2 linked regions of the Arabidopsis thaliana genome follow. The protein of the gene in region 2 interacts with the protein of the main gene of each other region in a pairwise test. Each region holds a gene or a part of one and is shown on either strand. Other genes may lie near its edges.

Region 1 (4,604 bases), 9.8 Mb from region 2:
TGGATATTTTTGAACGTTTTAACTACACCACAGGGTCCCAGAACGAAAGAGGCAATGAAAAGGACGAGCACAGTGTTATTGAAAAACCAGAGTTTTGCAAAATTTAGCTGTTGGAACTTGTCGTCGGGTCCCATTTCTATCCTCTTTATAGTTTTTTTACTTAATTCAGTTCCACAGTTTTGCACTGAAATTTTAAAAGAAAACAATGTAACAATAACAAGTATTCGATTTTTCTTGATTTTAAGCATGTATATAAACCTTATCAATAAGAAATAGTCTGATACTAAATGAAAACTCCAATCCGTAATAATGAGTATCATACCGAATCTCCGATTAAGAAATAAACAAGTAACGACTATATATTAACCTTTAAAGTTGTCGCAGCCTTGTAATATTCTTTTGATCTTTTAAAATTATAAAGCTGAGATTTAGCAATGGTGGGGTTAACGTGAAGCATCATTAGGAGTGTTAATGGGTCACACTCACACCTATGTTTTTGACTTTTTTTTATTACCTTTCGTACTTTTGTTTTGTTTTCTATCTTTAACCTTCAACGGCACAATTCTTACACAGCCAAACAATCGCAGTGTGCAGTGTAAGTCAACACCATTTGTATACGTTCTCACTTGTCAAATCTTGGTTAGTGACCAAGCCTTATTGAATAATTGAAAGTTCTGAAAAATAATTCACTATAAACAAGTATTACTTACCATTCAACTAACCACACTAATTCACAATTTCATTTCATCAAAATTAACATATGTAAGAATGTGAAACCCAACCAAACTGAACCAACAGAATTTTGGTTAGATTTGAACTATATCCAAAATTGCAAGGTAATGTGACTTGTTAATCTTTTTATAGATCGACGAGTTCTTCATCACAAATAGCTGAATGTATCCACGATTCATCACAACATCCATAGCTCCCTAAACAAGGTTTTGACTTCTACCTAAACAATCCATAAACAAGGACAAGAGAGGTGATCAATAGTAGAACCGATTTAGCCCTTGTTCGAGTAAGATTCAGATGTGATCACTAGCTTAGTTTCTAGCTTTCTAAGATGTTATTAAGTTCCTCGAAATGGCGCAAGAAAGTTGCTGTTTCAACCTCAAAAGAGTTAGCAATGTAAAACGATCCTCAAGATAGATGTTTACCTTAAGAAGACATAACAAAGTTTAATGGATTCGTTCTTAAAAGAAAACACAAGAAGATAAGGCAAAGACAACTCACTCGTCAACAAATCTACAAACTTTGAAAGCTAAGATAGATGAGAAATTGCGGCTAAAGTCAATGAAAGGCAACATGATAGCACGATACCGTAAACCTGAGGAAGTTCAATCAAACATCTTAAAGCCTTCATAATCTCAAGAAAACAGCGACAAAAACAGTAAAAAGCCGAGACAAGAGTCCTGTTCATTCACTGCTAACCTAATCACTGCTGCTGATTATGTGGTGGCATGCCAGGACGCGGTGGAGCAAAACCACCAGGAGCAGGAGGCATTCCAGGGCGAGGCGGAGGAGGTCCTTGCATTCCATGAGGTGGAGGAGGAGGTCCTCTCATCATACCACCAGGAGGAGGAATCATTGGCCTTTGCCCATACTGAGGCGGTGGTGGTCCAGAAAACTGCTGTGGCGGTGGCCTCATACCATAAGGCGGTGGAGGACCTCTTCCCATAGGAGGACCTTGACCACCAAAAGGAGGCGGTGGCAACATCTGTCCCGGAGGTCGAATAATCGGAGGAGCTGAAAGCTGTGGTGGACGAGAGATCTGAGGCTGCATCATTCCCGGAGCAGGTCCACCAACACCACGAACAGGACCAGATAAACCAGGCTGAGCTTGAACTAACGGACCAGTAGGAACTCCACGCCCAGCGGCACGGCCAATTCCTGGACCAGCAACAGCAGCTGCAGAGCCAGCTTTAGCACGAGATTCTTCAGGAGGAGGTGGTCCTTCGACAGTCATTGAGATAACTTCTTCACCTCTAAGCAACACTAAACCTAGCGTACGGCGATCTTCACGCTCTTCGTTGATCTTCTTCCCTTTAGCTGGTGGAAGCTTACGAAACTCCTCGCAATCGCCGAGAACGAGGTTCATGTGACGGTCAAACGCCATGAACTTCCCAACGAGCTGTCTTCCGTCTTGGATCGTCACTCGCATCCTGTAGTTGATGAACTGAAGCATCTTTGAACTCTTCGACATCGACATTCTCGCCGATTGAATAGTAACACTCGCTACAAGCAGAGATTCGGCGGCGAAACCGAGTATGCCGGAGGATCGAAATCGAGCTTAGGGTTTCAAAAAACTAAATCGAGAGGCCAAAATTGGGGGGGTTTGGCTGTGCAAATCGGGAAGTGGGAAATTTCTAGGGTTTATAAATGAATACACTCTTGTTTATGGGCTTACTTTCATTATGGGCCCAAACATATTGGACTTGGGCTGCAATTAGTTGAATAGGCTACAATATTTGTTAGTTTGAGGCTCCAAGTTTCACTAAGCTTATTTTATGGAGCAAATCAGCAAATGTCAAAGTTTAATCGGGAACAAATGTGTAAAGTTCAACAAGATTAAAACAAATCTGATACATTGAATAAGGAAATATTTTGTTATTCAAAACACACGTGTATTCCTGAACTTGGCATGAACTAGCGTGCATCAGGGATATGTTCAGGACCAAAGCTTGTGCTCTGTTCAAGAGAACTCTTGGAGTCCACGTCATGTCTCCCTCCTTTCCTTGAGTTCTCAGTTAAGAGACACTCTTGTAGTTCATTAGCAACCTGGGACATATTTGGTCTTCCGGATGAAGATGGACTGACGCATGACATTGCTAACTCAAGAGCCTTCCACAATGAACTAGAGTCATAATCACCGTTCATACTTGGATCCACAATATTTTTGATATCTCCATTGGTTAACTTAAATCCCACCCATTCTCCTATGTGAGACTTCTCACGAGTTTGGTCAATCACTGGCTGACTTGTGATGATTTCCAGTAATACGACTCCAAAACTGAAGACATCACTCTTCTCTGTCAACCAGTTTGTTCGGTAATATCTATAATACGAATGAATAAAAAATTTACCAGATGGAAAGAGAAAGACACAACTTAAGTTCATTAAGTATTGTTATAGACCACTTACTCAGGGTCAAGATAACCTGGAGATCCAGCAACATTTGTTGACACATGAGTTTCACTTCCCACCGGAAAAGATCTTGAAAGCCCGAAATCACCAAGTTTGGCCTGGAAATTATTATCAAGAAGTATATTCATAGATTTGATATCTCTATGAATCATTGGTGGTTTGCAGCCGATATGCAAGTACTCCAGTCCTATATAATACAACTCATAAAAGGTTTATTTCAAAACTCACCAAGAGAAGTGAACATCTCAAAAAATTTGCAATGTTATCTTTTTCTCAAAACTTCAAACGAACCTTGTGCTGTCTCTGCAGCAATTCTTAGCCTATTTTCCCAACTCAAAGGGGACCTAGAATTTTCTCCTGTACTCATAAAGATGTGTGTATGTTATAAGATGACACACGATCATTGTGTTTAGAAACAAATTAGGTAATCAAGGTTACCAGATAGATGTTGTTTTAAGTTTCCATTGGACATGTACTCGTAGATGAGGACCAAGTGTTGTCCTTCGTCACAATAACCAACAAGAGTTACTAAATTTATGTGGTGTACTCTGAGAAGAAGGTCTACCTAGCAAACCACAAGTAACCCAAAAGTTGGTAAATCATATATATACATTTTATTTGAGTATATGAATAATTAAACTTAATGATAGTGAAGGTACCTCAGCTTTAAATTGCTTATATCCTTGAGCTGAGGATTCAGAGAGCACCTTTACAGCCACTTGTTCGTTATCATTTACATTACCGTGGTACACGACTCCAAATCCTCCTTCGCCAAGAGGTCTCTCAAAATTGTTTGTAATTACCGCAACCTCTTCATAAGTATAGCTTCTCTTGTTCGCCACCATTGATGAGCGTGAAGCTATTATATACCATACATTATATACTTAAGTACAAATTTGAAGTTAATGAGTTTTAATTAGTCCTGAGCTTACCTTTGGATGGCTTCTTCTTTCTAAGTAAGAGAATGTTGACGAGAAGAAGCACAGCTATAATAATTCCCACAGAAGCAGCTGATGCAAGAATAGGTACTAGCAATTTCTTTTTGTTATTCCCAGGACCAGTTTCACTTTCGCATGATGGATCCAAACAGAGGTTATTTCCATTATACAGCAACGTTATTAGCCCATTCTTTTCCATGTTGAGAAGGCTTTGAGGAATTGAGCCGCTAAGATTGTTCCCACTCAAGTTTCTGTGCAATGTATATAAAACGTTATTAGATGCATCCATTTAAAGATTTAAAACCAAACTATTCGTTTTACTTCTAGGGGAACTTACATGAATGTCAACAACTTCATTTTGGCGAGAAATTCAGGCACCTTTCCCGTCAAGTTGTTATTTGACAGGTCCCTATAACATAAATAAATCATGATTGTCAAACAAAGATATCAAAATAGTCAAATAGATGTTCCCTCTATAATTATATAGGGAGATATGTATATGAGACTTACAATTTCTGTAGC
Region 2 (4,632 bases):
TTTTTTGCTTATTTATATGATTTGATTACAGGTTGTGCTTTCATCTTGGGAATCTGTCATTGAATTTCAGCCAAGAGTGGATGATATCGTGAAATGCCCTGGCAAAGTGATGATTGTTACCGCTGCTGCTCCTCAAGGATCTCCTTTTGACTTCTGCAGTCGACTCTTTGCTCCTAAACTAGGGCTCAATGAGGTTAAGAAACTAACCTGCAACTTCGTGCATGGGAGCAATTCTCTGCTTTTTACTTGTGGTAGCCGTTACCAAAAGTGTTTACCGTTACCTTATTTGCTTGGTGCTTTTGTTCCTTCAGGACTCTGTATGTGGAAGTGCACATTGTTCATTAGCACATTACTGGAGCCTCAAGATGAACAAGTGTGATTTCGTCGCTTTTGCGGTAATTCATCTTTCTCTGTAACTAGCTAACTAACATTTCGAAGCAAGAAATAATCACACATATTAACGAATCAACGAATTTCTTTTCAGGCTTCGCAAAGAAGTGGAACACTCAAGGTTCATTATGATAAGGAGAAGCAGAGAGTCTTGCTTACCGGGAAAGCTGTGACTGTCATGAAAGGCTCTATCTTAGTTTAATCTTTCGACTCTTTGCCAAAGTCTTGAAAAATAAGGTCAAGATTTTGATTTCTCGAACTCCCCACGTTTTATCAGACTATGTAATAAAGTGATCAAGTCAATAATAAAACATATTGAGTGATGTATGTTTGGCAATAACGTTTCAAATCTCAAATTCATGAAAACTTAAAGAGATAACAAGAATTTGTCTTAGTGACACCAAATCTCACTACAAGATAGATCTTTTACAATCCTGCTGTTACAAACCAAAAAGGACCAGACTTTTGATTACTGCAAAATGCTTAACGACCACCACGGCCACGTCCACGACCTCTTCCACGACCACGTCCCCGACCTGCTGGAATCTTACCTGATACCAAAGAGAACAATAGAAAGATGAGTCTAAGCAAAAACAAAAACAAAAACAAAGGCATAGTTCAGAAAAAAGAAATGTTTTGTTACCTGCAGTTGGCTTTTTGGGTTTGATTCTTGGAGTGTCTTCAACCAGCAAAGTCTCCAGATTCAAACTGTCCGGAAGAATATAATAGCGAATGTTGTTTCCCCTGACACTTAAGTGGTCTAATGTAACTGGATTCTTCCCTTTCAGAGTGAGTTTCACAGCTTTTAAATGAGTGTTCATGCTAACATCTACACCTGCATTAAGTCATCACAAGTAGATAGTACCAGTCAGTGAGTTGATTGATAATTGCATTCTAAACAAGATGATGGCAGAAAAAGGAAACCAAACCAAACATTAACAGCAGAGACCACTTGTATTAGATCAATCAGACTAAAAGAGAAGTTGAAACAAGAAGCCACACGGTAACTGTTCTGTGAAAAATCAGAGATTTTCTTTACAAGGAAAGAGATAAGAGTGACTTTCATGTGCTAAATCTAATCATCTGCATCTGACTCGACAAGTATCACTCAGTTCTTGCTAACAAGAGGGTTACCAACAAAGCATTTCGAGGTAAAAAAATAATTAAGACTCAGCTAAACTCTAACTTCTTCAGATACTATCACTAATAACAGAATTAAGCCTCAGGATTTGTTAACAAGAGAGGTCCACAATGATAAAGAGGGAAACTAAAGTAAACTATCTCATATATAATCATGTGCTAAACTCACTCCCAGAAGAACTAAGCATTCTCATACACCCAACTATAAAGCAAAATAAAATGTATCATCTCCATCTGACTAGACCACCATTATCATTCACTTATTGCAAACAAGAGAGATTCAACACCCACAATGCATTTCTAGGTCTATTAACAGAATTACACATCAGAATTAGTAAATTCGAGAGCTCCATTGGTTACAACCATCAAAGGAGAAAGTAAACTACCTCATGGGTGATCAAAGTTTGAAGAAGAACTAAACTATCTCATAAACCTCGATTCAAGTAAAATCTAGTGTACTCATCTGCATCTGACTTGACCAGTGTCACTAGGGTTAATACCAACAAAGCATTATTAGGGGAAAGACACTAGCTAAACTCAAACTACACCATCAGAATTTGTGAATACGCGAGTAACCATCGATTACAGGTAAGCATCGTAGATTTTACACAAAACCCTAAACAGCGAATAGAGCTGGGTTTTTAAGAGAAGCGTACCAGTAATGGTTCCATGAACAATGGTTCCGTTCTTAAGCTCGATTGAAACTGTTTCGTTGTTCAATTTCATCAAAAACCTGCGAAAAAATCCAGATACGAAATCAAACATCGAAGAGCATGAAAACAAAGAGAAATCTCAAAATTTCGAAGCAAATTCCAATTAAACCGAAGAAATAAAGAGAATCCGAGTAGAAACCATACCTGACGAGCTTCATGGTGAGAGAATGAAGAAGAAGAGGAGAAAATTAGGGCTTTGAGGAGAGCTCGAAACAGCAATGGCAAGAAGCAAGAGCGGGAGGAGGAAAAGCAGCAATAGGGGAATTTATGTTTAAGTCCCCAATTATGGATTCTGCTTCACACCGACGGTCTCTTACTTCCTTGAATGTTTGGTTATACCCTATTTGTTTTGAACTTATCAATAACACCCTTCTCAACTTTTTATTGAACAAAAACAACCCCAAATGAAAGAAACAGAATAATTAACTCAAATAATCTGATTTGCGGAATCTAATCACTCACTTTAGAAATTTATCTTTTATCAATCACATTTTGTTTAGTTTTGAAAAAAAACTGTTTAAAACTTTTGTTTAGTCAAAATTAACAATACAATGATAAAAAATTTCATCATTAGCTAGCTAAATAGTAAAAAAACAAAAGGTTTTAGTATTCTTGATTCGGCCTTTTAGCCCAATAGTAACGTTGGTGTTCGAATCCAGTCATTCATCTTGGTATTGTTGATCCAATTTTTCCTAAATCCATTAATAATTGTGACAACTAAATTATGCAAATTTTTCAACTGAAAATAGGGGATATTACATTATGAATGGAATATACAGAGTCTCTTATTTGGATTTTTATTACTAATCCAATGGTGACGAAGCATACAACACAAGAATCTTTTCTTTTCTTATCAACACAAGAATCTTTTCTTTTCTTTTGTAACATCAACACAAGAATCTTTCATTTTATTTTATTTGATTCTACTTTTCCATACTAATGGTTGGGTCATCAATAAATCCATTCCTCGGGGAGAAGTTTCTCCGGCGAATCAATAGGATTTTCTGCTTCAATCTTGATAGGTGTTGTTGCCAACATTTCGCTCTTCTTCTTCGAATCATTTTCTCTAATTTCTACATTCAAAAGAAACAATGTTACCAATTTCAACCAAAATATATCTATAGTTCAAACTAATTTGTAATATATAACACAATGTATTTGAATAACGGTCGATGAGAACAAATAATGGTTGGAAAAGAACCTGGACGAGGAGAAATATGGATACCGTTGTTGTGAATGTTAAGATTGAGTGCTTGAACTACACGAGTCGGGAGAAGCACCGGTGAGCAAGCTATGACAAGAGAATTTTGTTTTCATCAATCAAAATTGTATAACATTAAATCATATATTAATGAGTCTATATAGTAAAGGCTGACTAACGTAAAAACCAACAAATCACAATTTCTTTATGTCAATTGTCCTACAAAAGCTACGAAATAGATAGAAAAAAATGGTAATAGATGTATGAATCCATGATATATTTCGTAGTAATCGAAGAATTGAGGTTTTTGTGTTTATATATGTTTAAAACAAAAAACGACAAAAAAAATCATCAAAAATTTTCAAATTCTTCTAAATTTTGTCTAGCTCTAAATCTTCAATCTCAAGAAGCAGTGGTTGTAAAAAAGTTATTTTTCTTTTGAATATAATTTGAACATTATTTTCAAAAAAAAAAAAACGACTTAACGACAAAATGTAAGTTAAAAATCATGTCAAATCAACTTTAACCTGAAACTAAAAGAATTTTAGTATATGCAGTTGGTAGAATTGATTTTATGAAATTGAAAACATTATGCACCTTTATTTGTGTTCATAAATACTTAGTATAGAGTAATTAATAAATAACCTGTTTTTTTGGTGGGTGGATGAGAAGCCGTGGCTGGAAGAAAAACTCCGGTGCCAGAAGTTGTACGGCCCGGTGTAACCAAGAAAAATGCTTGCATACGATCCTCTCCTTTACTCCTTTGCCAATTGCTTTGGTGCTTTTGTCTTGTATTATAGTTCTTCAACACACAAAAATATATATACAAAATATTTGAGCTTTAGTTTGAAAATATATAAGATATGTTTAAATACATACGTTAATGTCCATAATGATATTTCCTCCAATACCGTTAAGAGATTGTAACCAAAAAAAAGATTGAAAAGAAATACCAAAGGAAATGTTTGTCTAAGAGGAGGTGCCCCGGGCCGACGAAATTCACCGTTGCCGTGGTGATGGTGGTTCTTGACATATTTCTGCAACTATGTGAGAATTTAATTAACAACGACTTCGATATAGAATAGGAGAAAAAAATAACAAATTCAAATAGAAAAAATTTAGATATAAGATAATATAAACCTGATGTTTGTTGGAATGATCAAACAATGGATCTTGAAGAACATGATG

What was found.
Region 1: the proteins of AT4G02840 (region 2) and smB interact in a two-hybrid assay, tested with the Arabidopsis thaliana proteins (2 studies listed by BioGRID, with this or other methods).

The regions. Positions count from the first base shown.
Region 1 is NC_003075.7:11,021,408-11,026,011, forward strand, and holds smB (small nuclear ribonucleoprotein associated protein B), read right to left. Parts: upstream 2,445-4,604; 5' UTR 2,210-2,444; coding exon 1,436-2,209; 3' UTR 1,432-1,435; exon of another isoform or gene 1,328-1,431; 3' UTR 629-1,327; downstream 1-628. Other genes in the region: AT4G20450 (Leucine-rich repeat protein kinase family protein), read right to left, coding at 2,647-3,055, 3,142-3,331, 3,436-3,501, 3,583-3,709, 3,804-4,003, 4,077-4,333, 4,420-4,491, 4,593-4,604.
Region 2 is NC_003075.7:1,262,495-1,267,126, reverse strand, and holds AT4G02840 (Small nuclear ribonucleoprotein family protein), read right to left. Parts: upstream 2,501-4,632; 5' UTR 2,402-2,500; coding exon 2,388-2,401; intron 2,264-2,387; coding exon 2,187-2,263; intron 1,994-2,186; coding exon 1,964-1,993; intron 1,226-1,963; coding exon 1,034-1,225; intron 942-1,033; coding exon 874-941; 3' UTR 668-873; downstream 1-667. Other genes in the region: AT4G02850 (phenazine biosynthesis PhzC/PhzF family protein), read left to right, coding at 32-193, 312-395, 485-592; AT4G02830 (uncharacterized protein), read right to left, coding at 3,195-3,316, 3,445-3,534, 4,090-4,246, 4,398-4,487, 4,585-4,632. UniProt on the Arabidopsis thaliana protein: Involved in splicing regulation.